Diceros bicornis minor: one gene and its partner. The protein of the gene in region 1 interacts with the protein of each later gene in a biochemical or structural test. Links are inferred from orthologs where the notes say so. Each region holds a gene or a part of one and is shown in the gene's direction. Other genes may lie near its edges.

Region 1 (15,997 bases):
CTGTTCTTTTTCTCCGTTCGGCAAGTCCAGAGAGGTGGATGTCTCCTCCGGCCTGTGGGCAAAGGCAGTCTTGGTTTCTTTGTTTGAGGTGGGAGCGAAGGGCATTTGGGAGGCATACTGTGGGGAAAGTTCAAGAATCTGACCCAAGAGAAGATGCACGTCTGGAAGAAGCTCTGAGAACTCAAAATTAACCATTTCAAATTGTACAATTGAGTACATTCATAATGTTGTGCAACTGTTACCTCTATCTAATTCCAAAATATTTTCACCCAGAAAAGAAACCTTGTAGCATGAACCAGCCACTCCCCATTCTGTCTTCTCCCAGCCCCTGGCAACTTCTAATTTGTTTTCTGTCTCTAGGAATTTGCCTATTTTGAGTATTTCCTATAAATGGAATCAGACAATATGTGACTTTTGTGTCTGGTTTCTTTTACTTAGCATATTGTCTCATTTTACTTCGATTATGTATACTGTTAGAAATTCTACTTTAGCTGTAGGTAGTTAACATTCAGTGTTTTGATTAATGTACTCTTCTTTGATATCAGCCCCCCCACCCCCAGCCCAAATAGTTCTTACATTTTCATCTCACTTATTTACTTTAATCAGGGAAGTCTGATCGTCCTGCTACCTTGGAAGACCTGAAGAAGCTTAAATATCTGGAATGTGTTATGAAGGAGACCCTTCGCCTTTTCCCCTCTGTTCCTTTATTTGCCCGTAGTCTTAATGAAGATTGTGAAGTTGGTAAGAATTCTATAATCAGAATAATAGGGAGAGTGGATTTTTTAAATGTCTGTCTTGCTCCATTCTCATGGCATGTTGTCTACTTCTTGACAGCAGGTTACAGAATTGTGAAAGGCTCTCAGGCAATCATCGTTTCCTATGCACTGCATAGAGACCCGAGATACTTTCCAGATCCTGAAGAATTCAAGCCAGAACGGTTCTTTCCTGAGAACTCACAAGAACGCCATCCATATGCATATGTGCCCTTCTCTGCTGGACCCAGAAACTGTATAGGTTTGTATCCATCAGAATTGTTTTGACCTTTCAGAATCACATGGTAGTGGGTTTCCCACAATAATTTGTTTAAGGTATAGTCTGCCATATGCAACAGTCTTTTAAAAAACTGGTTCCCTTTTTCCTCCGCTCTATATTATATTATTTCCTCCACTATCCATTATTGTTTTCAAATATGACTGTCATAAAGTATAGTAGTTTCCTAGGGCTGCCATAACAAAGTACCACAGACTCATCTCCTCCTGTATCTCCACATGGTCTTTCCTCTGTGTGTGTCTGTGTCCGAATCTCTTCTTTTTATAAGGACACTAGTCAGATTGGATTAGGGTCCATCCATATGACGTCATTTTAATTCAATTGCCTCTTTAAAGGCCCTATCTCCAAATAGTTACATTCTGAGGTACTGGGGTTTAGAACTTCAACATATGAATTTTCAGGGACACAATTCAACCCATAATGTAAAGCATAATCAGTTTCATGGTAGGGTTTAAAAATGTAGATTTTTGGGCCACCACTACTGGTGGCCTAGTAGTTAAGTTCAGCGGCCCAGGTTCGGTTCCCAGGCGCAGACCTACACCACTCATCAGTGCCCATGTTGTGGTGGTAGCTCACATACAAAAAGAGGAGGATTCGCAACAGATGTTAGCTCAGGGAGAATCTTCCTCAGCAAAATAAATAAATAAATGTTGTAGATTTTGGATTAAAGTAGAATATATTTTATATGGTAGAAAATTTCTTTATGACGATTAGTTATATTTAACCTAATTTCTGTGTTTGTTGCTTTTACGTATTGCATTTTGCAAAACCAAAACAAAGAATGCTTCCCATAAGGCCAGCTGAAGTACTTAAACAAAATGAATGCACGTCACCATGCATTATAAGCACTTCTGACTTTAGTATCTTTAGCATTTTATCATTTATGTAAATACAGGTATTAGTAAAATGAGGTCAGATTTAAGTGAGTGAATCTGAAGCATATTTGGTGACTTTATAGTAAATTAAATTAAAGGCCCAATAAGAAATCAAGCCAGAGTAGTGGCTTTCATGCTTCAAGGAGCCCAGGAGTCATCTGGGGTACTGCTAAAATACAGATTCCTCGCCCACCGCAGCTATTCAGAGGCTCTGGCTGGGAGTGGGGAAGGGCACCCAAGAATCTTCATTTTTAATAAGTATCCCACGTGATTTTGATTCTTCCAGGGCCTACTGTGAAAATACAAAATTGCTTGCTTCCTCTAATAGAACCTGTACTTTCTCACATTTGAGATATCTCTGTAATTAAAGTGGTGGTATTTCCATTAACTTGAAGGTCAAAAATTTGCCCTGATGGAAGAAAAGATCATTCTTTCCTGCGTCCTGAGGCATTTTTGGGTAGAATCCAACCAGAAAAGAGAAGAACTTGGCCTGGCAGGAGAGCTGATTCTCCGTCCAAGTAATGGCATCTGGATCAAGTTGAAGAGGCGGAACGTGGATGGATCCTAACCATATTATTGGACTTATCATGCGCTTATCATGAAAAAAGTCTTTCTTTAAGGGAAACTTTGCATTTACAATTTAGAGATCGTGAGTTCAGCACTCTTAATCCCTAGACCTAGTTTTCTCTTGTCCCCACTTACATCGGGTTCAAGTCTACCAGGGAGAGAGTTTTTATGTTTTCTTCACCACCATAGGTCTTACCCCTGATCTTGATCCCAGAAGTACAGTTAACTGATGACAGCACCCAAATAAACATATAACAAGTGTCTCAACAGAGGGATCCACAGGCTAATTCAATTTCAATTGACAGACCCAAAGGATATGATTTAATTGAGGTTCCAGAATTTTTGTAAGGTATTCTTCTTGGCTCAGGAACATATATATGCATATATACATATACATTTAATGTGAAAAGGGTGATTAATTAAGGACTAAGACTTAAGGAGGTTAAGTTTTTTAAATTATATCAGTGGCATCAGTTATGAGAGTAATTATTGTGGTACTTTTCAGATTTTATCACCTAGAGTTGATCATTTATAAGTTGATTCATAGGTTCTGTTCCTGTTTCCCTTTTGACTGTATACTTAGAGCCTTCATTTTATTTTTTATAGCATCACAATTACCTTTATATGTAATATACTATGGGGAGAGATTCCTCTTGGTAATCTCCAGTCCCTCACAGTGCTTCAGGGGGCTGATTAATGGCTTTTGGAGCTCAAAGGACCTTGGAGCTTATCTAGTTATACTCCCTTTTTATTAGAAGTGAGGGAATGAGATCAATGAGAAGGTAAGATTCTGCGCAACGTTATGCCACTCGTGGGTGACAGGGCTGGAAATGAATAGCAGTCTACACTCTAAATCTCTCCACTCCCAATATGACACACTTCTATTATAATATACTATTGCTTTATGGTACTCAGGTCTATCTCTAGATGTGTCATTAGAACACAGATTTTCTGCCTCTGATTTTGGCGTATTTCTTCTAGAATTCTTCCATCTAAAGGAAAAGAGAAGCCATGCATCTATATTTAGTAACCCAGTAATATCTCACTTAGTTTAGAATTAGGCTTCCAGTAAATTCAGTCCTTCAGAAAACACCTATCAAGCTGATAACTGATAGACATTCCCTAAATTTTACTTCTATAGGCAATATCTCTACTTCTTCAATCAGTGACTTAAAAAAATTCTTTTAATAAATAATTTGATAAAATTGTTTGTTCAATTTTCCCAAGGCTATAGTAGATGCAAGCAACAAATTAAGAGGATGGAATATGTATTCTTCAATGGATATCAAAGGAAGAGGTTATAAAACCAAAGCCATTTGGCAAACACTACAGGCTGGGACATTTAGGACGGGGTCAGTAGCTCAACCCACTTTACCCAAAGATCCCAACCCAGTGAAGACAACCCAGTCCCTAAGTTGATGAGAAAAAGTAAGGGAAGTGTATGTTGCAGTTGAAAAAGATTCCCCTCATGTGGTTAACTTTGTTACCCAGAAAGTGTATATATGTAGAAAATCTTGTTCCCAGATGACTTTGGACAATTAAAGTTTTATTCATGGAAATCGGTGTTATTTCTCAATTTTATGCGTGAACATTAAAACCTTGCCTTTTTTTTGAAGTGACCCTACACGAGATGTGAAATTAAATTTAAATTAAAAGATTGCTTAATGTTCCCTTTTGGCCTAAGATTTTCATTTAGCACCAGAATAATTGGTTATTCATGTTTTAATTGGAAATTCACTTAAAACCATGTCAGAGTTGGAATTGAGAAATTATGTCATGGTGTATAGTATTGAAATGCAGATGTTGATTTTTTTTTAATAAGAGGATGATCAAATATCTTTTTGTTTCCCTATTACGTGTCCTACACCTGCTCGAAAGAGGTATCTCAAGAAAAATAAATTACATTTTCAATATGGGTGCTAGTTTTTTGCTAAGAATTGATGTCAGTTTGAAATATAAATAATTTTAGTGGTATTCTAGATATAACACTATAATTCTCACTGAGATGCACTGGAAAGAGCAGAGCCTCAAGTGTTACCCTTCTTAGGGACATTTAATGATCTAGAGATGCAAACAGCAGAAATCCTTCATGGTCATAAAGGCACCACCAAAGACCTTTCTCAGTGAACTGGCATTCGCTCCTTAATGGGCAGTACAATATAGCTTTTGTTCATCTGTTTCTTTCCTGGTGGGCCCATCTCCTGGCCACACAGCAGCTTCATCAGAGAATCAGGGCTTTTTCCTTTTTTTTGAAAACCGCAGGTTCTCTTAAAGCTCCCGGATCTCTGCCCTGCCTGTGGCACATCCTCCCACCCAAGCTCCCAGGCTCCATTAGGGACTCTCATTCGTTCCCTCACCTCAGAAGTGTCCAGCTCCAAACCCCTCTCTCCAGGCCACTGTCACTTCAGATAAATGTTACCTTCTATCCTAGTGTTTTTTTGCTGCCTAACAAATTATTACAATCTTTAGCAGTTTAAAACAACACTAATTTATTATTTCACTGTTCTGTAGGTCAGTAGGTGGGCTTAGCTGGGTTCTCTGTTTAGTATCTATCTCACAAGCCCAAAATCAAGGTGTGGAGGTTGTGGGGAAGAATCTTCTTCCAAGTGCATTCAGTTTGTTGGAAGTAATCGGCTCCTTGTGGTTGTCGGACTGAATTCTCCATTTTCTTTCTGGCTCCTGGCCAGAAACCTCTCTCCTAGAGGCCACTGCAGATCCTTGTCCCAGGCTCTACCCATCTCAAAGCCAGCAATGGAGAGCTTGCCTGCTGTCAAATCCCTCTCACACTTTGAATCTCTCTGACTTCTCCTTATGTAACAGCAGAAAGAAACTCTGGGTTTTTTTTTTTTTTTTTGGTGAGGAAGATTGGCCCTGAGCTAACATCTGTGCCCATCTTCCTATATTTTATGTAGGACGCCTGCCACAGCATGGCTTGACAGGTGGTGCATTGGTCCACACCCGGGATCTGAACCTGTGAACCCTGTGCTGCCAAAGCGGAGCTTGCAAACTTAACCACTATGCCACCGGGCTGGCCCCAGGAAACTCTGTTTTTAAGGGCCCCTGTGATGAGATCAGGTCCACCCAGATAATCTCCATTTTGAGTAGCTCAAAGTCAACTGTTTAGTAACCTTAATTACATCTGCAAAATTGCTTTTGTTGTGTAACATAACATAATCATGGAAAGACAGGGTATCTCATTTTCTTCAGTCCCCTGGATTAGAGAGGGAAATCTTGGGGAGTATTTTAGAATTCTGCCTACCACTGCTTGTTTTCAACTTAATTCTGATTTAGTTCTTCTGATTCCACAAGGAAATTTTTAGTTTTAGTGTATTGCTAGAACATAACTTATGGTTTCACTGTAAGAAAAATTCAAACAAAACACAGAAGTATGTTTAAATAGGTTAAAATCTGTAATCTCACCTTTTAGGGAAACAATCTCTGAGCGTTTCTGCCATGATTTGGAGGCAGGGTAGTTTCATCTCAGTCATCTTTTTTTCCTGTCAAGGCTGGTAGCAGATGAGATGCAAAATTTAAATTCTTGTATACTGCACAGGGCAGAGGACTGCCTTTTGTTGACTGCTGCTGCACCAGTCGATACTCTGAATCTAAAAGGCAGTACAGCAGGCATATTTGAAATATGTTACTTCATTACGGTCAAAAAATATTTTATTGACAACATTATCCTACATTTTTAATAAAAATAGTTCCGCAGTGCAGTAACGTGCGTTAAATATTTAAAAATCAACTCCCTAAAAATCGAATTTGCTAGCCAGAACAATGTATCACAATTTTGAAGAATGGTTCGAAAACAAAGGAGATTTAGTGGGCAAATGATTATGGTCTCTAACTATTTGAAAAAGCACAAAAAGAATAAATTATTTTGTGTGGATCTAGTAAATTCATCTAGGACTGAAGGATAGAGTTGCAAGGAGGTCTATTTCAGTATATAGAAAGGCTTTTTCTTAAAAACAAAATAGAACTCCCTGAGCAGGAACAGGCTCCTGGGAAAATCAGTATGTTTCTTTCCAGTCTAAGTATCTATGCCAGGAGTGCTATACAGCAAATTTCAGCCTACTTTGTCTGAAAAGGGCCAGATGGTAAATCTTTTCAGCTTTGCAGGCCACACTGTCTCTGTCACAACTATTTCATCTCTGTAGTTGTAGGTGAAAACAAGCATAGATAATACATGAATGAATGGGCATGGCTGTGTTTCAATAAAAGTTTATTTACAAAAACAGGCGCTGTTTTTGTAAACAGTGCCAGATTTGGTCTGTGGACTGTGGTTGTCAACCCCTGCTACATCATAGTTTCTGAATTGGGTGGGAGGAGGACCTAAACATCAACCAACTCCCTTCCATACTTAAAATTTCCATGTTGCAAGATTCTTTGTCTGTGGTATAGGAGGGCATAGATACTATTGGACAGAAGATCCTTCCAGGGTAAACTATCCATACCCCGACTTTATTCAGTTGTGCATCTTGGTGATTATAATGGAAAAAGTCCAGTGAGATGAGATTTAATTTGCATGACCCCAAATAACTGGGAATATTATGAACCTTTAAAAAAATGGAAACCTGTGGATGAATTGTATGGCCCTAATGTGAAATAGTTAGTATATTAAATAGCTGAACACAGGAATGGAATGTTCATAGACTATGTTGAGAGGACAAAAAGTTGAAACTGTTGGCAGAAAACCAAAGTCAATATCAGAGCCAAGCAAACAGTGCCTGTGGTGCCACATTAGGAAAGCTTGAAGATCGTCCATTTTTAAGTGGCAAGAGACTCTTCTGTCCAGAATCACGGAAGCAATTGTGCTTTCAGGTAGAGAATTTCTGTTATTCTGATTTCTTCCAAATAGCGTGTTTTTTTAAAAAATTAAGTATAGTTTTTACTTTATGAAGAAGGATTAATTTATGTTCTAATTTCTTGCATATTTAGAAAGTGTGGAAAAAATTATGTTCTTACGTGTGGAAATATTTGTGTGTAATATATTTTAAAAGCAAAGAGAATATTAACTCATTTAAAAATTTAAAATGAGCTTCAATGGTTTCAAAGCTTTTTTTTACTTAGGGATTCTGGACCGATGTCACTGCCATTATTTACGATAATTTTTTTTTGCTCAAATCTAGAGGTTTTACAGCTGTTTAATCCCTCTCAACCAATTACTGACAATACAGGTGGCTTATGAACAACAAACATAATAACAGTCTAGAGGTCTCAATTTATAGCTGGTGCCAAGCCCCTGGGCACAAAATGTACAGAAAACCCTTGTTCTTAGAATTGGTAATTGTGTGCTTAGATTTGCAATTCAGACATTTACAAGAAAATCTCTATCATCTTAAATTAAAGTTCATGCTAAATATGATCTATAACCAGCAGAGTTATTCATGCAGTGCTTTCTCTTTTAGGATGATTTCCTTCAGGCAAGCAGCTTATTTCATTTGCTTGTTTGCTACAGTTTCCTGTGGTGAGTGGATTATCTACAAAACATAAAGTTAAGGGTGTGTGGAAGAGAGTTAAGCAAGGCATGCCACCCGTGGAGAAAGCTATTGAACATACAGCCTTGGGAAGGAGGCAGGATACACATCCTTTTAATGTTTGGAGGCAACAACCACTTCTCAGATGCATCGCCCTAGACACACCAGGGGGAAGACCCCAGAAATGAGAATGTCTTCAGGCATGTGTTACCAGAAACTTCTGTTTGGAAGTGGCTCTGTACAAAGCAGATCCTGAAACAATCGGCGCTCCATTTTTATTATCAACATTAAAAAAAAAATCAGCTTTATCTGAATATTCAAAAGAGTGCTAGGCATTTTATATTGTCTGGGTCTAACCCAAGTGTAGTGATAGGTACAAAGCATATATTTTTACTCTTTTAGGCCACTGGGAACCATTTCAGAAATAAAAATACCTGGTTTCAATTTAATTTGGAAGTCATCCATTTGAATAGTTCTAGTTTCAACAACAGGTTTTGATCGTATTTCTCTGTCTATCCATTCCATCAAATTTTCAGAGAATAAGGAGGATTCTGGACACTCTTTTTCGTTAATCATTGCAGAGTGGAGTTTTCTCCGTGTCACCGTTATGGGTGGCTTCCGAGTCTATGTTGACTTAAGATGGCCACATCACAATGATTGTTTACTTACCTCTCAGATGTATGGCTAAGAGAAACACCTCTTGGGTAAGGGTTACATTGGTAAAGAGATACAATTTCTTCAGGAAGAAGCCTTTTTTTTTTTTTTCCCTAAACTGCAACTCCCCTCCATCTGTCGTCTCATTCCTAATTGCTCTTCTGCGCCAGAATCATTACCATTTACAAATCCATTGAATGCTGAGAAGTAGAAGCCAGAGATGCTGTGGACCATGGCTACTTCAATTTTATTCTTTTGGCCAAAAAAAAATTTCATGATCACACTAGGAAAATTAGAGGTGCAAATAAGCAGAAAATGAGAAACTACATATTTTCTGTAGTCCTATAATACAGAAATGGCCATTGTTAAAAATCTTTTGTTTAGTCTTTCAGATATTTTTCTACACATATCGATGTACACAAGTAACAAAGATATTATTAATTATAGATACTTTTTTTATAACGTTTCCCATTTAAAGCTACCTTTTCATGCAAATAAATATATATCATATTTTTTGGAGCTTAGTATTCTTCCCTATGCATGGTATTTTTGCATGCACATTCTTACACACATATTGAATTATTTCTGTGGAATAAAATTTTGGAAATAAAAATACTAGATACAAAGGTGTGAATATTTTTGAAGGTTTTATGACATACAACATGAAATTATCTTCCAAAAAGGTAATTTCCAAGTTGACTTTTTCCACTAGTAGATGAGAGTGATCATTTACCCCACCTAGGCCAACTCAATAGTCACTTATTATTTTGTAGCCTGGCATATATTCACCTTTCTGGAAACAGTATCCTAATTTATTTCTGAGAAACAGCTGCCTCCCAGTTTTGGTCCATGTGGTTGTGACCCAGGCAGGCTTGAACCAGTAAGTAAGGCACACATCTTGCTGGCTGCATTGACCTCATCAGAGCCAAAGCCTTGCAATAAGACTTTTGCTTACACTTCTAGAAATAAGACTCTTTTATTGTTTTTTTTCAAGTGAACTCGAACTATGACAGAATGCTGAGACCTGAGCTTCGGGCACTGTCTTTCCACTACATGGAGCTTGAGAGAAAGGCAACCCCATGGAATAGAGCAAATGTATGAAGGAAAATTGTGTCTTGATGGGATCCGCTGAGCACTGTGTCCAGTTATTTCTGAAGCCAGATCCACCCCCAGCTCTTTGGCTTTGAACCAATACATTTCATTTGTATTCAAGTCACTTTGAACTAGGTTTTTTTTTTGTTATTTGCAATGAAAATCAGTACATCGACACTGGTAATTTAGATAATTTTAAATTTTAACTTGCCTGTGTTTATGATTCTTAGCATTTTTCATATGCTTATTAGTTGCTTCTATTTCTTTTGCAAATTACCTTTTCATATTCTTCGCCCAATTTTAAAAAATTAGATTCCTTTTCTTCTCTTTATTGATTATATGATCTTTTTAACAAGACTGAATAACTTGCCAAGGTCCATGGACATAAGGACTTGTGTGACATGATATAGCATATTTTATGTTATGAGATAACTTATGTCACAGTGTTTTCCATATACTCTAGAATACAATACAAACAAGCCTATCATCATCACCATCATCATCATCATTAGTACCAGCTTATGAGGTTAAGCAAGAACACCTATTAGAACTTTCTTTCCAGTCTGCTCCAAAGTTGCTGTATTTCTAGTTACTCCTCTCCTGGGCTGAATCACATGGCAGTTCATCAAGGCTCAGTTGCAGAATGGGAACTCCCAGGCTAGCCCCAGCCATTGTTTGTACCCATGTCTGTGAATTGAGGTGGGGGAGGATGGCTGCTTGATCATCACGAATCAGCCAAAAACACCGGTTGTCTAAAACACAAGCCACTTTGCAGCTAGCCTTGTCACCGGACCAGGTACTCGGTATGTTGTGTGTTTATGAAATGTAGGCCTGTGTACCTGGCAACTTGTATTCCCAGAAGCTTCCACCTGAAGAGGTCTCTGCTCTTTCCAAATATAAACCTTACCCAAGGGTTAGTCATCTTAGCCACACCTTTGAGAGAAGGACAAGCAATCTTGCTGGGCTGGGTCATCATAAGAGGGCTCAGGGCCAAAATCCCCAGAGGGGTGGAATAGTTCAGAGGAAGTTTTAATCAACAGGGCTTAATGAAATACACGTATCCAAGCTGCCCATTCTCTGAAAGGCAATACAAAAATAGGTATTATTAAAATTGGAGTGGCACTACTGCCCTAGGGCATGGATGAGGTTGCCATTGCAATATCCTGTGATTAACGGGCAGTTGACCGAGTAAAGCGAATGTGTTATCTGAGTTGGAAAAGCTTATTAAGCAGACTTTGAAGTGAGTCTCTCAAGGTTAACTCAAATTCAGTATAACAGTAAAGGTAACACTTAACACTCTAATAATATGTAGGATGCTGGGTACTTTAGAGCTATGAACAATTCCAGACAGCAAATATGTAGTTCAGAATGTATCTTCAATTTGGTGTATGCATGCCTTTGCTTAAGCTGTCTGAAAAATGAGCTTGTAGAAATTGAGAGAATACTTGTTTCTCTGCACTCATTCCTAAAGTAATAAATACCAATAACTGTTAGTTTGCTTGCATTCAACTGAGATGAGGAACAACGTTGCACACTAGGAAACGGAACAAGACGGGGAGTCAGAAGAGCTGGGTTTATGTTCCAGGACATTCACCGGCCATGTGGATCTTGGGCAAGTGTGTGCTGCCATGAGACTGAGTTACCTAACTTCTTTCCTAAAAAAAAAAGTCAGATATATATAATAAAGACTGTCTCCAGATTCCCTTACAGAGCTGTTGTGAGAATCTGGTGGGGATGCTTGTTATGAAAGTGTTTTGAAAAATAGATCACACATCATTATTTTTAAGGCATGATATTTTCATTGCATGTTAGGCAACAGGGAGAAACCAAGCTAGGATTGCATTTTCTTTTTTTGTTGTTTTTTTGTTTTTTTCGTGAGGAAGATCAGCCCTGAGCTAACATCCATGCTAATCCTCCTCTTTTTTTTTTTTTTTTTTTTGCTGAGGAAGACCGGCTCTGAGCTAACATCTATTGCCAATCCTCCTCCTTTTTTTTTTATTTCCCCAAAGCCCCAGTAGATAGTTGTATGTCATAGTTGCACATCCTTCTAGTTTCTGCATGTGGGACGCGGCCTCAGCATGGTTGGAGAAGCGGTGCGTCAGTGCATGCCCGGGATCCGAACCTGGGCCGTCAGCAGGGGAGCGCGAGGACTTAACCACTAAGCCACAGGGCCGGCCCTAGGATTTCATTTTCTTGGGGATAATTTGTGTGCAAATTATTGTATGATTTAATAAAAATCAACCAAGTTTTTTTTTTATATAGAAGTACCCATAAAATGACTTGAGCATCATACATTGTTCAAATAGTCACCTTAATATGTTTCATTCTGCCTGTATAATTAAGGTCTTGTCATAAAGATCTTTGGGTATTCCATGGAGGAAGTAAAAAGGTTCAGAACACAGACACTTTTCTGATAATGTAAATTATTATTTGCATTCCTCCCAAATTAATGTCTTTTTTTTCAATGATGACATCATAGGATGCCTGACTCAACTATATGAAAACACCTTCTTCAAAGGTGGGGATGTAACTGCTATTTTCACCCCGAGTGCCCAACACTGTCAGATGATGTGCACGTTCCATCCTAGGTGTTTGCTGTTCAGTTTTCTTCCTGCAAATTCAACCAATGATGCAAACAAAAGGTAAAAGTTGATATTTCATTATTGGAGAAGCTAGTCATTTTTCAAAATGGAATCAGTTGTGTGCAAAAAAGTGTAGCATATCGCAGGGTTATGTTTCTCAAATGGGGTTAAAGGACCAGCTTCATCAGAATCACCTGGAGTAGTTCTTACATAAGCAGATCCTTAGGTGGAAGCCCAGACCTATTGAACGAAAGACTCTTGGGATTGGAAATCTGCATTTAAAAAATATCTGCATTCACTTAAAGTAGTAAAAGATAGTCATTTTCTATCCAAGGCCTCAAGGAAAATGCTAGAAAATCATTGGGTTAAGAGATTGTCTCAAGAAAAGGTCTAAAAACAAGTGAATATTTCACCTGAACAAGGAAGCATAGTTGTTGTCTGACTCATGATCACATTTGTGGGTAGCACAGTCCAAAGAAAATATAATAGAAGGTAAGCATTTTGTTGAGAATATGATTGAGTAAGATCCAGAGCTTATGATGCTGAGAGAGGGCAGGTCTGAATGGTGCCTACAGTGAGCCAATTTGAGCACCTATGATATGCGTGATGTGCGTGCACGTGTGTGTGCACTTGTGAATATAGACTATTAACTGGTAATTTGGAAAAGGAAGAGCACTGGAAAAATAATTGGCAATGAAAAATCTTATTAGGTCATAGAGTTGCCTAAATACAGCCATAGTTTCATTTTCTTTAATTTTGATCAATATCCAGAATGAGTGTTTCTTCATTGTTCCATTTCTATATCCACAATTCTTTTCTTTTATCTTCACTCTATTTGAATTTGAAAACTAGGAATTAGATAACCATCCCTTGATTCTACATGGTAAACTTGTACAGAAAACCCAGATTGTATGTGAGAGATGTCAACTTTTTAAGGAAAAAGGTGAGTTAGGTTCTAGAATCCTTGTGAATAATGAAATTACCACTGAGGTTGACATGAAAGACAGAAAGAAGTCTTCCATTAGGTGTGGACTAGAAGGAGTTAGTGAACGAGATGGACATCATATATAGATCCACTCTCATGACTGATTTAATTTCATAAGTAAGTGAAAGTATTTATGAAAACAATCACCAAGTAGGAACATAAATTCCCCAAAAGTTTAGGAACACAGGAAAAATCACTAACTCTTTAATATGATTGACTTCCTGTACTTAAAAATGTGAATGTATAGGAAAACAATACTGAAAGACCGTTAGATATTATGGAATAGCCTCTAAGAATGTTCTTTCCGGCAAATGTCAGGGAAGCTGTATTATTTTCCTTATTCCCGCCTATATTTATTAGTGCATAAAAAATGCTAGATGTTTCCTCAATGTGTGTTTATTTCACTTCCTAAGTGAAGCTACTTTTAAAAACAGGTTTGGTTGCTTCATGAAAGACAGTGTTACGGGAACGCTGCCAAAAATGTCACGGAAAAATGCAATTTCTGGACATTCCTTGAAGCAATGTGGACATAAAATAAGCGGTAAGATGTGGATTTCTTAGCTAAAGTTGAATGAACGAGGAGTCTGCCTTAGAAAAGCTTCTGCTCAAACTCTGTACTGTCATGGACTTTTGGAAGGGAGCCCTCAGAAAGAACAGAGATGGGGCAATATTCTGGACATATCCTCTTGTTTTTATCAATCAACACTCACTTAAGGAGCCTTTATTATTTATGAGGGTAGCACTACAGGTAAGATTTGCAGAAAGTGAATACCCATCTAAACAATAGTCTCCCCTTGATTCCAGATAAGAATCTTAAAGAGAACACAGAGAGTTCTCTCTTTCTGTTTCACTTGAAGGTGATTTGTACACCAGTGGTTCTCAAACAGGGGTGATTTTGTCCTTCCACCAGGGGGCACTTGTCAATGCCTGAGACACTTGGTTGTCACAACTTGGGGGGATGCTACTGGCATCGAGTGGATAGAGGTCAGAGATGCCACTAAATGTTCCACAAGGCACAGGGAAGCCCCCACAACAAAGATTTTCTAGTCCCATATGTCAGGAGTGCAGAGGTTAAGAAATCCTGTTAAACTCCCATGCTGAAGGACTGGGCTTTGTAAATCTTGCGAAGAATAATACTTAAAAATATATGAGGATTAGGAGGCCAGGAAACTTTAATCCTGACACTTATTGCTATTAACGTCTTGAGAAACAATTTCCAACCCTATTCTAATAAATTTAAGGCAAATGAACTATTTCTCTAATGTGACTGATCTGAGAGTAAAAAGTACGGAAAAGATTCTCTCAATTGATGGGTTGGCAGAACCTTAAAATAACCATGTTATCACTATACATCATTGTTATTTTACCCTTACTATATACAGTTAATTTTGTAGGATTAAATTTCAGATGTTTTTAAAATTTTTCATCCTTTCCTGTCCCATTAACACCACTCCCTCAATACATACACACACTTCGTGCCTGCAGTTTGTATAGTAACCAGTCCTTGGTGATAAACAGGGGGACCTGGCTTAGCCAATATGTAATTTACCTAGGAAGGAGTACATTTTCTATTTTATAAGATCAAATTTATATCTTAATAAAATTTAGTGTAAATTATTCAATTAAGCATTAGTTTCAATTGTGGCATCATAGTAAAATTTAAAGAAAAAATAATATTGTGCCTTTCTCATTACACCTTAGTTATTTTTTCCCCCAAAACTTAGTCTACTCACAGAACTTGATTTAATGTTCTCTTCTAGCTCTCCCCAAATATCTTACATTAAAGTGAAATTAAAGTGAACTATTGCTTCCAGGCATGTAAAGTCTCTTAACTCAGGACCGATTTTGGTTTAAAACATTTAGGGGTAGGTTTATAGCTTTCAACTAACCATAAAGAAACGTTTTAGTTTCTAAGTATCCCAGCCCAACTCTTAGCCTGTTTCTTTTTCTCATGTGCAGCAGAAAGGGAAAGAGATTCCATTTCTATAATCAGCAAATTCCTGTGAGCATGAACCACCATGAATAATCTACAGCCCTGCCCACCTCAATACGTTGTTTTCCTACTAGTTTGCATATTTTCTGTAATTCTCACCATTAAATCTAGTTTTCTGACTCCTTAAACCATACCTCTTAGGATTGGAAAATTACATACAATAGATTATGGTTTATATTGCTAGTATCCTTAGCCAAGGGTCTAACTAACAAATTTGAGTCTTTAAGACAAAGAGCCTAACTCATTAATTTGGTTCATTGTCTGTTAAAAGAATTACCTATATTTTTTGTATATAAGACAAATTTCAATTGAAAGGATGCTTAAGTGGAATTTAACAAAATTCTAAAGCAAGAATGGAAATGGCTTCATCATGCATCTACAAGAACTCTCCACATTTTATGATAATGATTTGACACATAGATGTCAATGACGGGGCTTACAGATGCAAGTCGCAATCAGACAGGAGTAGTTGAAAGTTGAGAAACAAGCAAAGAGATGAGAAGCTCCTTCACTCCACGCAAGAGGTCGAAGACACCTCCGTTTGTTTAATAATGCAAACCTCCGCACACGTCATTAGGGTCCTCGTTATTATTGCCTTGTTTATCTTCCATTGCTCGTTGATAATTTCAGTGTGAAATATTACCTGTACTGATGAAGTTTTGAAAGCACAGTAACCCCTTTTCCATGCTAGTCCCTAAGACATATTGGAATGTGTTTATTTC
Region 2 (16,483 bases), on another chromosome or scaffold:
TGAAAGGCAGTAGAGCATCATTGTAGAGAATATGGCCTCTGCAGTCAGATTTGCTAGAGTTTGAATGCCAACCTCATCACTTACTAATTGTGTGGTCTTGAGGTCAAGTCGCTTAACCTCTGTAAGTTTTCCTTCTTGGTAAAATGAGGATAATTATAGTATTAGCCCTTTGTATCTTTGTTAGAATTAAAATAAGATGATCTGTGTGGTACGCTTTGCAAAGTACTTTGCACTCAGTAAGTATTGACTTCAACATCTAAAAATTATGTATTACTCTACAGTTTACAAAGCAGTTGCACATGTGTTATCTCATTTAACTTCAGAACAAGACTATGAAGTAGATTGTGATGCTTTATATTTTAGAGATAAAGTAACTGAGGCTGAAAGAGGCTCAATGACTTGGCCTTGAGAACACAGCCAAAATGTGGGGAACGCATGACCCTATCCCACCAGGGTTGACTCTAAATTCCATGCTCTTTTATTTACTTTTTCAAAAAGAATTATTACAGAATTCCTTTAAAAATAGCAAATCTCAACATGATTCAATATACACAAATTCAACAGCCAAGCAACTCCTTCAGGAGGTTGCCTTAAAGAAAGATCAAGCTGTATCTTCTGCTCTCTCTGAGCAAAACTTTATGTTGATGATTCCTCTCCCTCTTTGGCAGAGACAGAAAGAGCTCATTAAAATATTAACACTTTATGAGTGATGGGGGGCATTATGAATAGAGGTCACAACAGAGACTTGAGCATCAGAAGGATCGGAGTTTAAGTTTAGCTCTGCTATTGATTGGCTGATTTGATCTTGAACAAGTTACTTAGCTTCTTCAACCCTCGATTTGCCCATCTGTAAAATGGAAGCTATTGTTATTCTTGCCACCATGCTTATATGTGTTAAGTCCCAGCATTGACACTGCCGCTTCCAACCCAGTAACTGCAAAGCTGCCATCTTCTTTCTCCAGTCTCTTCGGCACTGGCCAATACCAAAGACAGCCCCGTATTCATCGATTTCTTTGAGGATACTGAGCTCTACAAAAAACAAGCTGACAAAGCCCTTGAGAAGTACAAGAGGGAGAATGATGATTTTGCCTCTTTCAGAGTGGACAAAGTGGAGAGAGTAGCCAGAGCGGTGAGTCTCCACTCACGTCCAGCTAGAGTCTGAGGGCCCAGACTCCAGCCTGGCAGGCGCAAACTCAGCAGCACTGACGCTTTCTACCGACCTCATTTGGGCAGCTGCCTCTCAAATTGAGGCACCTGTTGCAGCCTCCACAGACAGGCAGCAAATACCAAAGAACTGCCCTCCTGCAGTTTTTTATTTTTTGGAGTAGTGGGGAGTGTGAATAGAGGGGAGGGAAAACCACAATCAAGAAAGAGGGAAAGAGGGCTGGCCCGGTGGCATAGTGGTTTAAGTTCGGTGTGCTCTGCTTCGTCAGCCTGGGGTTCGTGGGTTCAAATCCCAGGTGCAGACCTGCACTGCTTGTCAAGCCATGCTGTGGTGGCAACCCACATACAAAAAATAGAGGAAGATGGGCACAGATGTTGGCTCAGGGACAATCTGCCTCAAGCAAAAGGAGGAGGATTGGCAACAGATGTTAGTGCAGGGCCAATCTTCCACACACACACACACACACACACACACACACACACAAAGAAAAGAAAGAAAGAGAGAAAGATAGAAGAGCATATTAGGGTTATGTGAGTCATTAAAAATCACCTGGTCCTGGGGCAGGCCCCCATGCCTAGTGGTTAAGTTCAGCACGCTCCACTTCAGTGGCCTGGGTTCGGTTCCTGGGTGTGGACCTACACCACTTGGCTGTGGCCGTGCAGTAGCGGCAACCCACATACAAAGTAGAGGAAGATTGCCACAGATGTTAGCTCAGGGTGAATCTTCCTCAAGCAAAAAGAGGAAGATTGGCACAGATGTTAGCTCAGGGCAAATCTTCCTCAGCAGAAAAAAAAAAATCATCTGGTCCTAACCTCCTTGTGTTATGATGGGAAACTGAGGCTCAGAGTAACTACCTCACCATACCCAGTGGTGTGGCTGGAGCTAGACAGTTCTCCTACCTCCCAGTCCAGGGACCCAAGCACCTCCCACCCAGAGTGGTATTGCAGAGCAGCTAGTTGACGTGTGTCACGCATTTTGAAAATGCAAAGTTAAATAGATTATGGTGCATACAAGCAATGGAGTGAATACAGTGCAATTACTAAAAAGAATGTTTTGGACCTACATGCATTAGAAAGAGTTTCAAGACATATTGCAGAGGGAAAAAGCAGATTACAGAACAATATTTAGTCTATGAGCCCGTTTATGTCAAATAATCAGATATATGTGTATATGTGCAACATATTTAGGTAAAGACTAGAAAGAGAAACACATCAAACAGATGATAGTAGTGTCTTTGAGAAGGAGAAGGTGGAGTGCAGGAAGGGTGATTTTTCACACTATGCTTGATTATGTCTGTATTATTTGAAACTTTTCAATGAAATAGTATTCACCTTATTACGTGGTAAATTTTAAAAAGGCAGAGACCATAAGAAAAATGGCACATATTGGTGATTTTGAATCTTCACATTACTTTACAGTATATTAGATAGTAGATATCAATTAAAAAAATTTTTTTTTGCACTTTTCATCTTCCTGAAACTGCTTTGATCCAATCTGTTCCAGAGAGGAGGGGAAAGAACCAATTACTATGTGGACTTCTCTGTGAGGAACTGCTCCATTCACCATTTTCCCAGACCCTCTAAGGTGAGTAATGTCTGTGAAATACTAAGTGACATTTAGAGAGTGCTTACTGTGTGCCAGGCACACTTATAAATGCTTTACACTTATGTTAACTTATTAACTCCACCACCACTCTATGAGGTAGATACTATTTTTATCCCTGATTTACAGATGGGGAAACTAAGGCACAGAAAAGTTAAGTGAATCATGAGAATATGATTTTATAATATACATGATATATAACTAAACTTAAAACTAAGTTTCTAAACCCATTAGGATTAAAGACTTTGCTAAAACTGATAACTAGCTTATATTAAGAACCTACACCCAAGGGTGCTTTCATTCACTGCATCTTGTTTACTCCTCTCAGTGACCCCATGTGACAAATGGGGAGGTAACTGAGGCTCAGCAAAGTAAGGGTCTTGCCCATATTCACAACCAAGCTGAGATTAGAATTCAGCTCTCCTGTTCTCAGCCCACTGGAATTTTCCCCCTAATCATTTATAAATTGATACTCAAGAACCTGCAATAAGATCTTAATAATATTCAGCATTTTTATGGCGATAGTTTACAAAACACGTTCACATACATTATTGCCTCGTTGGAGCCCCGTGACAACCCCCCTGAGGAGAAGCAAGTGTCTGCCCCCATTTCCCTGGGACAGGAGGGCCTAGACATTTTACCACTTGCCTAAGGGCACTTAGCTAGAAAGTGTTAGAACACAGGATCTGAATGGTGGCCTTCTGATTTCGAGTCCAGGACTTTTCTGAAGTTTAACAGCACATTCTTCAGGGTCGGAAGAGAGGAAGCATTCATTAGTTCATTCTTGGGCTGTTCAACTTTTCAATCTGAAGCAGTTCTAGGATCCTGCTTAGTGGCTACCACAAAAGACATCTCCCTCCCCCTTTCCCATCCCCAAAAAACACTTAAATATCTTTGCACGGGTAATGAAAACCCAGTGCAGAAACATGGCTGCTGGAGAAGAGGCATCTCAGTGCTAACTGTTTTACAGTATTATCTCATTTAATTAAGTCCTCCCACAACCTGTGGGCAGATAGTTTTACACCCATTTTACAGATAAAGATTGAGTTTCAGAAATTTTAGAAATTTCAACTTGCCTAAAGTCACACAACAAGTAAATGGTGAAGCGAGGATTAACATAGGTCTGTCTGGCTCCAAAACTGTACTCAGAACCACTTAACAATCTCTTCTGGCAAAGAGTTTTCTTCTTGTCCTAGTCTAACTTTGACAGCTGGGTTTAGGGGCCTCTGGAGCACAGGGTTGCCAGCTAGTTGTAGCCCCTATACTTAGAGTAGGGCCAGTTGATGGTCACTTTGATGGGGTCCATGCAAACCTTCTTTGTACTGGCTCCCTTCTTTCCAATACTTTCCTCCAAAGAATGGGTTAAAGTTGTGCAAATCCTCTCCTATACCACTCTTCCTTCTCTCTAGGCACAGGTAACTCAGGTCTTCAGTGCAGAAGGGTTGGCCTAAAGGCAAGGCATCAATGACGTGGTATTCCTCACTACCATCCGTGGGGAAGCCCGGTGCTGGTGGTCACTGGGGGAAGAGAACCACAGCAACTTGTAATGAAACGCTTTGGAACCTGCACTTTCCCAATAGTATTGACTAGGAAAGGTTGTTAAATAACTGGTGGAGATATTTGATAATATTACCCAGATTTTTCTAAAGTTTTTCTCCTTTCCCAAATGTCTGGAAGTTCATAACTCTAGCTGGGCACCTTCACACCACCTGTGCATGCACACACACACACACACACACACACATACACACACATACATACACTAACAGGCTTCTCTTTTCTTTATAGGTCTTTGGTTTCTGCAGAGCAGTTTTGTCCTATGAGGTAGGAGTCTCTGACTTGGAAACCCCAGAAGACATTGTCGTCAACTGTGAAGTTTTCAATTTTGAGGTAGGTTACCTAAGTAGCCTTTTCATGAGCAAGGCCAGCCTAAGTGATATTCTCACACACATAGTGTATTTTGTTCTTGTGGTTCTGTGTGTGGGTGAGAGAGAGAGAAGGAGAGAGAGAGAGAGATGAGATGGGGTGGGTGGAGAAATACAGACAGTAGGACCCTGGGGAAAGGAGTGCAATTTCTAGTGTGACACAAAAAGTATAAAAATTTTTCCAGAATTGAGGAGGGGTAAGATTTTGCAGAAGAGTAAAGTCATGACCAGCTAACCTTTAATGAATTTGAAAATGGCCTTTGTAGTCAGGACTCCAGTGCTGCGACTTCATAATTCTTAGCTTTTATTATTAGGCTTAGAACCTAAGGGAAATGAATTAGCCCCAAATTTATTTTATAAAGGTATATAAAATAAGATGCAAAACAACATTTTACATCTGTCCCAGAAAGCTTTGTTCTATACCAAAATATTCTTCACATTATTTTTTTATATCAGCAAAAAAACTTAAAATAATTCAAACGTCCATGTGCCAAACCAAAAAAAAAGGGATCAATTTTGTCACCATGAACACGGCTCCCTAGGTTTTTTAAAATATTAAAATCTAAACAAGGAGGAAAGTGAAGGGGTGAAGTGCTCAACCTTTAGAAATAAGAGACGCTTATATCACAAAGCCTCAGACTCTGTTGAGAATACGAATTATAAGGCACTAGTTTTCCAAATGTTGGTCTACAGATGAGTGCTATTCCATAATATAGTTTCACCACTTTATTTTGAAATGAGAAAAATACAGAAAGTTTTTCATAATATAACATTTATTCCATCTAAGGACCATCCTTTACTCTGAGATTATCTTTCTGACTCTTGTGTTGTCAAAATAGTATTCCTTTTGTGATATAATGATGGTGGTAGGTGATAGTTTTTGTCTGTATTTTAAATGCCAACTTGGCTAGATAAAAATTGAGAACCCTTTTTTGGTACTTTTAAAATTGATTTGGGGAATCCAAAAGTCTGGAAGCCATTGGTCTAAATCAAGTTAAACATCTAACTTCTTTTGTGTTGCATGATAATATTCACTTTTCTGTGTCCTTTACTAGGAACATAGATACATCCATGGTAAACGACCCCATTTGGGCCATCCCCCCCACTCTGGTGGGCATGAGCATTCTCCTGCTGGCAAGCCTCCATTTAAGCCAAATGGATTCAGGGATAACCATCCACATGATCTTGGATGCCCACCTCCTGTTGAAGGCAAAGATTACTCAGACAGACCACCAGTTCAAGCAGGAGCTCCTCCACTATTGCCTCCTTCAGGGTCAAAATGTCATCACCCCCATTTTGGCACCAGTGAGACAGATGGACCTCCTCATAACCATGGCGAGCACCCTCCTCATGGACCCCCTCCCCATGGACCCCCTCCCCATGGACATCCTCCTCATGGACCCCCTCCCCATGGACCCCCTCCCCATGGACCCCCTCCCCATGGACCCCCTCCCCATGGACATCCTCCTCATGGACCCCCTCCTCATGGGCCCCCTCCCCATGGGCCCCCTCCTCATGGGCCCCCTCCCCATGGACCCCCTCCCCATGGACCCCCTCCCCATGGACCCCCTCCTCATGGACACCCTCCCCATGGACACCCTCATCACGGACACCATCACCATGGACACCATCCCCATGGCCATGGTTTCTATGACCATGGACCCTGTGACCCACCACCTCACTGGGGCCATGGCCCCCCACCTAGGCACCCAGAAGGAAGAGGTCCAGGTAAAGGACACTTTCCCTTCCATTGGAGACAAATTGGATATGTTTACCGACTCCCTCCACTAAAGAAAGGTGAAGTTCTTCCTCTTCCTGAAGCCAATTTTCCCAGCTTCTCATTGCCACACCACAAGGATCCTCTAAAGCCAGAGATTCAGCCCTTCCTTCAATCAGCCTCTGAATCATGTCCAGGGAAGTTTAAGAGTGAGTTTCTACAAGTCTCAGAGTTTTTTGCATCTACTATTCCAAAATAAAATCTGATTTCCTTGATGGGTAAAAATGAATAATGTTCTGAATTAGAACCATAAATAAAATGTGACCAGTAATAAATGCAAAATTAGAAGTTATTTTAACCTTTTTTCATACTCAGGATATGGCAAAATGTGGGTAGGGGAGGAGATGGCATGAGAAGAGAGAGACAAATGGAAAGGAGAGAAAAGATCTCAGTGATACAAGTCAGAAGATAATTCTCTCACTGGCCACTACATCTCTTGAGGCAAATCTCTGAGCCTCAGAATTTCTTTCTTTCCTGGACTTAACTCTTAGTTCTAGAGTATTTCCTCTATTAGTACTTATACTGTAGCTGGGCATAACAAGAAGGTATATATTATCACTTAAAGATTATTCTTATAAAAGTGATCCATATTCTCTCCTACTTGTTATTTCTAGTCCTCCAAATTTCCTTTCTGAAAAATCAGTTCTAAATTCAATTATGAGGCAAAAAAAGTTGGGTTATAAATTGCAAAGAAGGTTGTAGGCATGAATCATGACCACAAATTCAGGTGCACAGGAAATATCGCTTTATTTTAGGAACAAATTAATTTCTATTTCAGGTTGCCATCCTACTGGGCTAACGGGAAACTCACTCTCAGTCCTTCTTGGAGTTCCCCCACCCTGCTACTCCCCACACAAAATTATGTCACAGTTCTAGACTCTCACACAGTGCCAGGGTGTTTGGTGGCGGGCACAAGAAGGAGGTCTGATTCTTCATCACTGGTCCACAAGGGCCCCCTGCTTACTACCCTGTTCACATCGCTCTTTGGGTCTAGTTTATCTGCTACTTATGTATCAAACTGGGGATATATGAGTCCCTGTAAAACTGCTCACGGATGTGACTGCCAAGAGATACCATATAGCTCTTCTCTCCCCGAGATCATCTGCCTTCCATGCTACATGTCCAGAAAGCAGGGCAGAGGTGTCCTCTGCTTCGGGACCCCCAGACTCCTCTGTTTTCATCTCTTCTTCCCAGACTAGGGGCTCTCTAGTCTCAGATAACTTCTCTTTATTCATTTTTGATGCTAGAGGACTCTTTTTCTACACCTTAATCCTCTTTATTTTCCCTTCTTCCCAAATCAGGGCTCAAGCATTCAGACACAGTCTAAAAAGACTTCAGGTTCTCTCTAGCTGATTTACTGAAGCAGTTTCAGATGTGTGGTGATGGCAGAAGGTGGATTTTAGTGGGGCGGGGCTCCGGGGTGGGGGGCGTGGGTAGAGAAAAAACTAAGGGTGAGAAAGACTTGGATAAGTTCTTAGGCTGGGAAGAAGGAGGGGTCCAGAAAGATGGAGAAGTTAAACCTGGGGAAGTTAGGATGTGATTGATGGTGCACGGTCCAGAAGGAGTTGGAAAGGAATGCAAGGCTGATCCCGGCGAGTGTTTCAAGTGAAGACTCAGAAACAGGACTTGGCAGTGTATATAGGCAGGATAATAAACAGGAAAGAATATGATTGGGAGGAGGCCGATCTGGATTCTAATCCCAGTCCCACAATTTACTGACTATCAGATCCTAAGAAGGTTACTAAGCCTCTTTGGGCCTCATTTTCCTTCTCTAAAAAATGATGACGGTGGAGGCCCATTTCCCTTTCCTCTTTGGAGTATGGCTAGACTTCATTTCCTGGAGCCATGATGATGACACTCCAAATATTTAATAACCAATATGTCACAAGCATTGACCCATCAGACCAGATACAACAACCAGTCAGGACAGTCGCCAGCCATAAACAACCAGAGTGGCACCAGCTGAATGTCGCCCTGCAGACTCACATTCCTCCACATGAATACAGGGTTGACTCCTTGAACAGGGAACCGCGAAAGGTGAAATCTGGGAAGACCAAAAAAATACTTAGGTTAATAAGTCACAGAAGCATTTGAGTAGTGCTTTATAATTTATAAAGTATTTTCACAAACATTGCTTGAGTTATTGAAAATATTACCTGGAAAATATAGGATTGAAGGCTCTCAATTCATTACAATTAAATGCGTTCGTAATATGCAAACACAGTTGCCTCAAGTGAATAACAGAGTCAGAAACAATTCCTACTCTGGGGAGCTTACATTGTACTAGAGGTTGCGACAACATACCATTGATTGCTCCTTTTCTAGATTTTTTTGCTACGTGACAGCTAAAAAGTATATGAATGTTTGTTAGAATTAGTAAATTGTGGGATTAGAACCCAGATTGGCCTCCTCCCAGGTCATTTTCTTTCCTGTTGATTATCCTGCCTATACACACTGCCAAGTCCTGTTTCTGAGTCTTCACTTGAAACGCCCACCATGATCAGCTTTGTGTTCCTTTCCGCCTCCGTCTGCACCGTGCACTGTCAGTCAGGCCCTCACTCTCCCAGATTCAGCTTCCCCGTCTTTGCGGGCCCCTCCTTCTTCCCAGCCTAAGAATTTACCCAAGTCTTTTCCACCCTTGTGTTTTTTCCCCCCTATACTCAGCCCTCCACCTCCCTGAACTCACACTGGAATCTACCTTTTGCCATCACCATGACCTGAAACTGCTTTAGTAAGTTGCAGATTAACCATCCCACTCTAAGTTTAGATATAATTTATGAGGACTAATTAACAGGCCCTGCACATATATTATCTCATTCACTCCTCAAAAAACCCTGATGAGACATTATGACTTTCTGCATTTTACAGATGAGGAAACTGTAAGCAGAGAGGTTACATGACCCTGACTTGCTCAGGATCACATAGCAATTAATTAGCACAGCTAGATTGGAATCCAGGTTGGATTTACTGGCAAGCTCATGTTTCTGCCACTCCACTATAAGGCCACCATTTAGCCCACAGTGATCCCTCTTTTCCAGGGGCTTTCAGGGAGACTGAATGGCAAAGCAAGAGACTCTATCAACAACAACAAAGCAGTCAAACGTCTTTTTTTGCAGGAGAGGGATGGTTAGACTTGAGGGCAAACATCTACTAAGGGCTACCCTAGACCTCCTCTCCCCGAACAGTCTAACTTGATCAGAAAAGTTGCTTAGGCTTGATGAGTGAAAGACACTCATATCCACCAAACCAGAAACAAGAAGCAAGGACAGAGGATAAGGGGCTTCACTCAACCCATCTCTTATGCTTCTCCCCTGTCTCCTCTACCCTGGGGAGCATTTTCCTTTCTAGAACTAATACAGTTGAGTGGAAAGAAACTGGCCTGGCCAGAGACCAGATAGGACGCCCATATTTTATTTTTAGTTGCACCAGTGTCCTGGTGTAGGACTCACAGGACTCACTGTGTCCCTGTGCATGGGCTCCCCAGGCATGCAATATGATTGGTAGCAGCCTGCTTCTCTGCAGCTAGACATCCTGCAAAGGAATTTTATTGAAAGGTGTCTGCACATGGTACTCATTGTTGCATTGTTGTCACTTGTAGTGACCTTTGTAAATGACTTTGGGAAAGTCACAAGGCAATGACAGAGGTGGTTGGTGTTTTTTTTTCTCCTCCTTTATTAGAGTCTGCTCTGATTTGCTATACAAAGTTGTGCAATCACCTGGAAATGTGCTCTGTGCACCCACATGCTTCTCAAATGCAAACAAGCAGGTCACTGACCCCTGTGTTGTAATAGTCCAGCCTGAAATCTTCTTGGATAACCCAGCAGAGCCATTTGTCCTTTTGGAATAGGGCAAATAGTGTACGGCAGCAGGAATCCAACCAGTGCCCCAGAGCGCTGAGGCAGAGAGTGGAGCGCAGAGGAGATAAGAGGCTGGAGATCGCTAAAATCAGCATTCAAGTTGGCTCCCAATTCTTGGTGAAACTCCCAAAGGGAGACTGTTAAGTCATGAAATTAATTGCCATCATTTTCCTTTGCTCCAGGCTGCTACTAAGTGTAACCCAGGAGTCCTTGCAAGAAATCGACTGCAATGATGAGGATGTATTTAAGGCTGTGGACACGGCTCTGAAGAAATATAACAATGGGAAACAAAGTGGCTACCAGTTTGTGTTGTACCGCGTCATGGAGGTCACCAAGACGGTGAGTGGGCTGGTTGAACCTTGAGGTCATTTGGGATTTGTGCTGTCGCTCAGAGCCCGGACCTCACACAAACACACACACACACACACACGCACACGCCAATCACCAAAGAACTGATAATTAAAGGAAGAAGCTTACAGCTCTTATAAAAGACTGACACCACTCTCCGGCCTGGGGGTGGAGGGCACGGTATGACTAGTGGTTGGGCCACCAAGGTTAGCAGCCTGGGAGATCAGAGGAGCAGTATCCCAAGGTGAAATGAAACAAGGGTAGATGGAGTAATTTGAAAGAGACTATGCAGAGTGGGAGAATCCAGGAACTCAGTCAGGCTGCAGCAAGAGGATTTACTGGGTGACTGGCCCTAGATTGAAATATAAAGACCTCCAGAGCTAGGGTGGGGAAGGGGTGCTTAAGGGGGCACGTCTAACAAATATTGCATTATCTCGCTTATATGTGGAACCTAAAAAAGTTGAACTCACAGAAACAGAAAGTAGAATGGTGGTTGCCAGGAGCTGGGAGGTGAGGGAAATGGGGAGATGTTGGTCAAAGGGTACAAACTTCCAGTTATAAGATGAATAAGTCCTGGGGATCTGATGTACTGCATGGTGACTATAGTTAATAATACTGGGCCCGGCCCCGTGGCTTAGCGGTTAAGTGCACGCGCTCCGCTGCTGGCGGCCCGGGTTCTGATCCCGGGCGCGCACCGACGCACCGCTTCTCCCGCCATGCTGAGGCCGCGTCCCACATGCAGCAACTAGAAGGCTGTGCAACTACGACATACAACTATCTACTGGTGCTTTGGGGGAAAATAAATAAATAAATATTTAAAAAAAAATAAAAATAATACTGTATCGTATACTCAAAATTGCTGAAAGACTATATCTTAAATGTTCTCACCACACATATAAAAAACACAACTATGTGAGGTGATGGATGTGTTAATTAGCTTGCTTGTGGTAATCATTTCACATTGTATACATATATCAAATCATCAAGTTGTACACTTTAAATACATGCAATGTTTATTTGTCAATTATACCTCAATAAAGCTAGGGGAAAGGGAGGGGGGTACATCTAAGAGGAGTCAGAAGTGAGATTACCATGGTTCTACTGCATCAAACAAAATATCTACTGTGAAGTCTGCACAGCTGAATGCATCAAAGGTGACAGCAATGTTCTAGTTGGTTTTTAATATTTTTTTCGCTGACTGATGCACTCCTGTTGGAGACAAATCTTGATAGGATGTGTGATTTCAAGAAATACTAATCTTTCAACAGTTTGTTTAAATGAATTTCGCTGTAAAACACTGTTATCTCTGTGATAGTTAAGCAATTGTTTACTTTGGTAGAGAAAAAAATCCCCCCATTTGACATGATGAGGATAAAGAAAGAAGCCCAGTGGACATGTTTTTTTTTTTTTTTTCTGAAAGTAAAATGGAGCCATTCTGTTTCACAAACTAGTGTGGTCATGTGAGTCCTCGTGCTGTCAAGCCACAGTTTGTTGTTGTTGTCTTTATTGGCTGACATCCATGGCAAATGTGGTTTTTGTTCTAAAAGGTCTGGAGAATCACTCTTTATCTTTGCTTTTGCCATGTAGGCACCACCTATACCACTATCACCTACTGCTTTATCAAAATCTGAGACCTAGAAGGAACCTCAGAGACTACCTTGTTTGACACCATCATTTCTCGGATGCAAATACTGTGACCCACGCAGGCTCTAAGAGAGCACTGCCTCGGGAGTCAGGAGACCTGTGATCTGGGGCTGGCTCTGCCTTTCCAAGGTGGGGAGGCTGCCTAAGCCGTGCCCTATCTACTCGGGGCCTCCTTTCTTTCACCTGCAAAGTGAGGGGCTGGACAGCATCGCCTCTCAGGTCCCTTGCTGCTCGACATGCCAGGATTTTGCATCTGAAAGCTCATCTAAGTCAGCACCTTCGCACTTTAAGAGTTTTGTATATTATTTCATGACATGCTAGAATAAATAGAAAACAAACAAAGCAAATAAAAATACTAAAACTACCCATAATTATCCCCACTGTCCAGAAACAACTGTTAACATTTTTTTCAAAAATGAATAAAGCTCTCTTTTTCTTTGTTTTCTAATTGTAAAAACGATATATGTTTGTTAAAAAGAATAGACAATTCTGGAATGTTGGTATAAAGAAGTGAAAGACAACTGTACTCCCACCACTGAGAGACACACATTTTAACAGCTTTGCTGCATAATTTTCCAGACTTTTAAAAATCATACATTTACATATAAATTGGTTTCCTTAAAAATGGGCTAATACTATGTATACTACTTTGTAACTTAAAATATATGTATTTGTAAATATATTATGAACATTCTTCCAAGTAAATATTTATAACTTTCAGGATTTTTAATAAATGTTTTGCCTTAATTGAATCAAATCAAGATCAAATATTCATAACTGCACCAGATCCCACTCCAATGATTTTCTGTTGGGTCAGTTGGATGAACCCTACGTATCTTTGGTTGCTTTTTTTCAGGATGACCCTGACACATTTTATTCCTTCAAGTACCAAATCAAGGAGGGTGATTGTCCTGTTGGAAATGGCACAACCTGGCAGGATTGCGACTACAAAGATTCTGAGCAAGCTGTAAGTATGTTGACAGTTCCTGAGCCTCCAATTTTCTCCGAGCCTGCTAGATTATTCTACTGGTGCTTTTGGGGTGATTAATATTGCTGAGTCTGTTTGTGAGGGATGCACATAAACCCTCAAATGTGTAGACAAGTCAAATGCTTGATGTATTCTGCATAGAGAGAAAAGGCGTGGAGAAGCCAGTGGTTAAACATGAAGTAAGCCCACCCATAAGAAGGGGACTCTAATGACCAGTTGGGACATGTGGACCAGGCCCCAGAGAGACAACAGATCAGCATTTGGGCTGAGATCGAGGCTGGTGAGGGGAGAGTGTAGTGCTTCAATTGAACAGGCCTGAGTACAAATCCTCATCTGCCTCCAACTAGCTGACCACTGGGAACCCTGTGCTCTCTTATAACAGGGACTTAAAATTGACCTCATCAGGAGATGAGGTTGTTGGAGAATGAAATGATCCATTATGCAAAGGACCTTGTTTTAATAACAGTGGCTATCTTAACCAGATGCCTAACATGTGCCTGGCACACCACAGCTGGTTGTCTCGCCTTAATTAAGGGAGATTGTAGGTGGTATCTGCCAGGAAGCAAGCCACATGTTTCACAGTCCATGGAATCACCTCTTTAATGTCAAAACACCGGCATGTGTACGCAGTTTGAACACTGAAATTGACAGGTAAATCAAGAGAAGAGTTTGGCAGGCTGGTCCTAAGGCGTTGTGTACATTTTGGTGAAAAAGAAATATGTTCAGGGCTCAAAACAAAGACTCACGCTTTAAAACCTCACCATTTATACTGCCCTTCCTCCAACATCTCCCAAATATCAATGGATTCTAAAAAATAATCATTAGGCTACAAAAACATTCATTCTTGTGTCTCAAAACTCTGTTAGAAAAAACCTTGACAATTTAAAAAAAAAAGGAAAACCATATTTAGCAAGAGTATTAGGTGGACTTCTCCCCCTGAAAGATTAAGGTAAATGGTCTCCGGTTTTTTCTTTTTAGGCCACAGGAGAATGCACAGCGACCATAAGGAAGAGTGAGGATATGAGGTTCTCCGTGGCTACCCAAACCTGCCAGATTACTCCAGGTAGCTGATCCATCCGGTGGCTGGAGGGGAAAAAATGAATCATTTCTGTGTGCCAGGAACACAACCCAGACCAAGTCCCCTCCCAGAGGGCAGCCATAGGGGTGCCATTTGCAGCCTTGGGGGCGGGGGGCTGGGAGGGTGGAGCCGCAGAGTCCGGAGGTTGGGGCCAGGCTTGTGCCAGTCATCCCCTCAGCCCTATCCTGACTCTCTTCCTCGAGTGCAGCATTGTATTAGGTGTGTGCAAGGGCCCTGCAAAGGTGAGTAGATGCAAAAACTGCCTTGATTGGAGGCAGCATCCTAGAGTGAGGAAAGCACGGGCTTTGAGGTCGGACCTGGCCTGGAATCTTTCAAAGCTCCTCACCTGCTTGGCTTTCCTCTTCCTTATCTATCAAAGAGGATAACAGTAATTCCCACTTCATGGGATTGTTATAGACTGAAACTAGATGATATGCCTGAGGGTACAATCATCATAATGTGTGAATGATGATCAGGATGAAAGTAATCCTAGCTAACATTTATTAAGCTCTTATTGCCAGCCACATTCTGATCACTTTCCATGTATTAACTTATTTAATCCTCACAACAACTCTATGAAGAAAGTATTAATATCCCCATTTTACAGATGAGGAAACTGAGGCCCACAGCAGTTAAGTATCTGACCCAAGATCCCACAGCAAATAATTAGCAGAGTTGGTATAGCAGACCCTCAATAAACAAAATTCCTTTAGAATAAAGTATGGAGCAACTTATCACCAACTATAAGCACTATTAGCTCCTTCCCTTTTGTGGCAGAGGTGCCAGTTACAGAAGAATGGGCACATCTAGGTGATGTCAATCATAAAAGCCGTCCCAGAACTGGCCTTCTGCAAGGTAGGGTTTTAGTACATGAGGCTCCATAAGAGCATCTCAGTCACACTATTGAACCTCACCGTAGTGGCAGTTGTTCCATTCTGGCCTTCGTCATCCGTATAGAGCCCACAAAAACTATATCCCTTGAGTTCCAGTTCTTGCAAGAAGTTGTAGTCGAAGAAAAGTGGAAAAGAAATCACAAGTAATTTAAAAAAAATTTTTGGAGTAGCTTTTCATTATTCAGTTTAATAACTCTATCTCATAAGCAGATTTTAACAGTATCCAGAACACAGCACTTCTACACTACGAGAGGAAAAGCCCTTTGCCATATTTTCAGAAATTACTACGAGGTCCACAATCCCTTATCTGAAACCCAGATTTGGCCAGATGTGTTTCAGAATTTGACATTTTAAATCTTTGTTTTAATTAAAAATCATCCCTCTAGAAATGTTGGAGCAGGGTGAAAAATCATTCTGTCACCCAGAAAAACTGACTTTCCATCACCCTCCTCCCCTCACCCTCAAAAGACTGCTTCATCTCTTCTCTTAGCCCCGGTCAGAGCTGCCCTGGAGGTCAGGCAAACGAGACTCTGGTCTTTCCTCCATCTCATCTTTCACCTCCTGTGTTCCATCTTTTTTTTTTTTTTTTGAGGAAGATTGGCTCCATGCTAACATCTGTTGCCAATCTTCCTCTTTTTCTTTTTTTTTCCTCCCCAAGGCCCCAGTAGATAGTTGCATGTCATAGTTGTAGATCCTTCTAGTTGCTCTATGTGGGACGCCACCTCAGCATGGCTTGATGGGCTGTGAGTATGTCCACACCCAGGATCGGAACCAGCGAACCCTGGGCCGCAGAAGTGGAGTGCGCAAACTTAACTGCTGCACCACAGGCTGGCCCCTCCTGTGTTCATCTTTTTTTTTTTGGTTCTTCCATCAGTAATTCTCCTCCTTTCCCATGTAACCCTCCATGTTTTTGACTTTGCCTGTTAGCCTGGTTCAACATAACTTCTGCAGGGAGAGGAGGGGAAAAGCTGTGAATATTCACCTAGCAAATCTTTTTCCTGACACACACACTTACGGAGAGAAAGCCAGAAAGGAGTTGCAAGTGCAGCCGTGTTGACCTGCAAAACTGAGGGACAGTGTATAGAACACTATTGGCCCCCTCATTCTGTGTGGATCTTACACACTCGGGCAGCAAAACCCCTGGGGGAAGGGGCCCAGGACTCCTTCACTACCTTCCCTGTCTGGCAGCCTGTGCCTCTCCCGACC

What was found.
Region 2: the proteins of KLKB1 (region 1) and KNG1 form a complex in vitro, tested with the Homo sapiens proteins (4 studies listed by BioGRID). The link is inferred for Diceros bicornis minor from reciprocal best matches to the Homo sapiens genes KLKB1 and KNG1.

What each region holds. Positions count from the first base shown.
Region 1 is NC_080768.1:17,717,596-17,733,592, forward strand, and holds the start of KLKB1 (plasma kallikrein), read left to right. Parts: upstream 1-7,853; coding exon 7,854-7,959; intron 7,960-12,194; coding exon 12,195-12,357; intron 12,358-13,716; coding exon 13,717-13,823; intron 13,824-15,997. Other genes in the region: cytochrome P450 4V2, read left to right, coding at 607-741, 835-1,014, 2,321-2,493. UniProt on the Homo sapiens protein: Participates in the surface-dependent activation of blood coagulation. Activates, in a reciprocal reaction, coagulation factor XII/F12 after binding to negatively charged surfaces.
Region 2 is NC_080754.1:37,317,847-37,334,329, reverse strand, and holds the start of KNG1 (kininogen-1), read left to right. Parts: upstream 1-10,361; 5' UTR 10,362-10,473; coding exon 10,474-10,665; intron 10,666-13,174; coding exon 13,175-13,285; intron 13,286-14,284; coding exon 14,285-14,369; intron 14,370-16,483. Other genes in the region: HRG (histidine-rich glycoprotein), read left to right, coding at 963-1,129, 2,669-2,749, 4,556-4,657, 5,748-6,668. UniProt on the Homo sapiens protein: Kininogens are inhibitors of thiol proteases.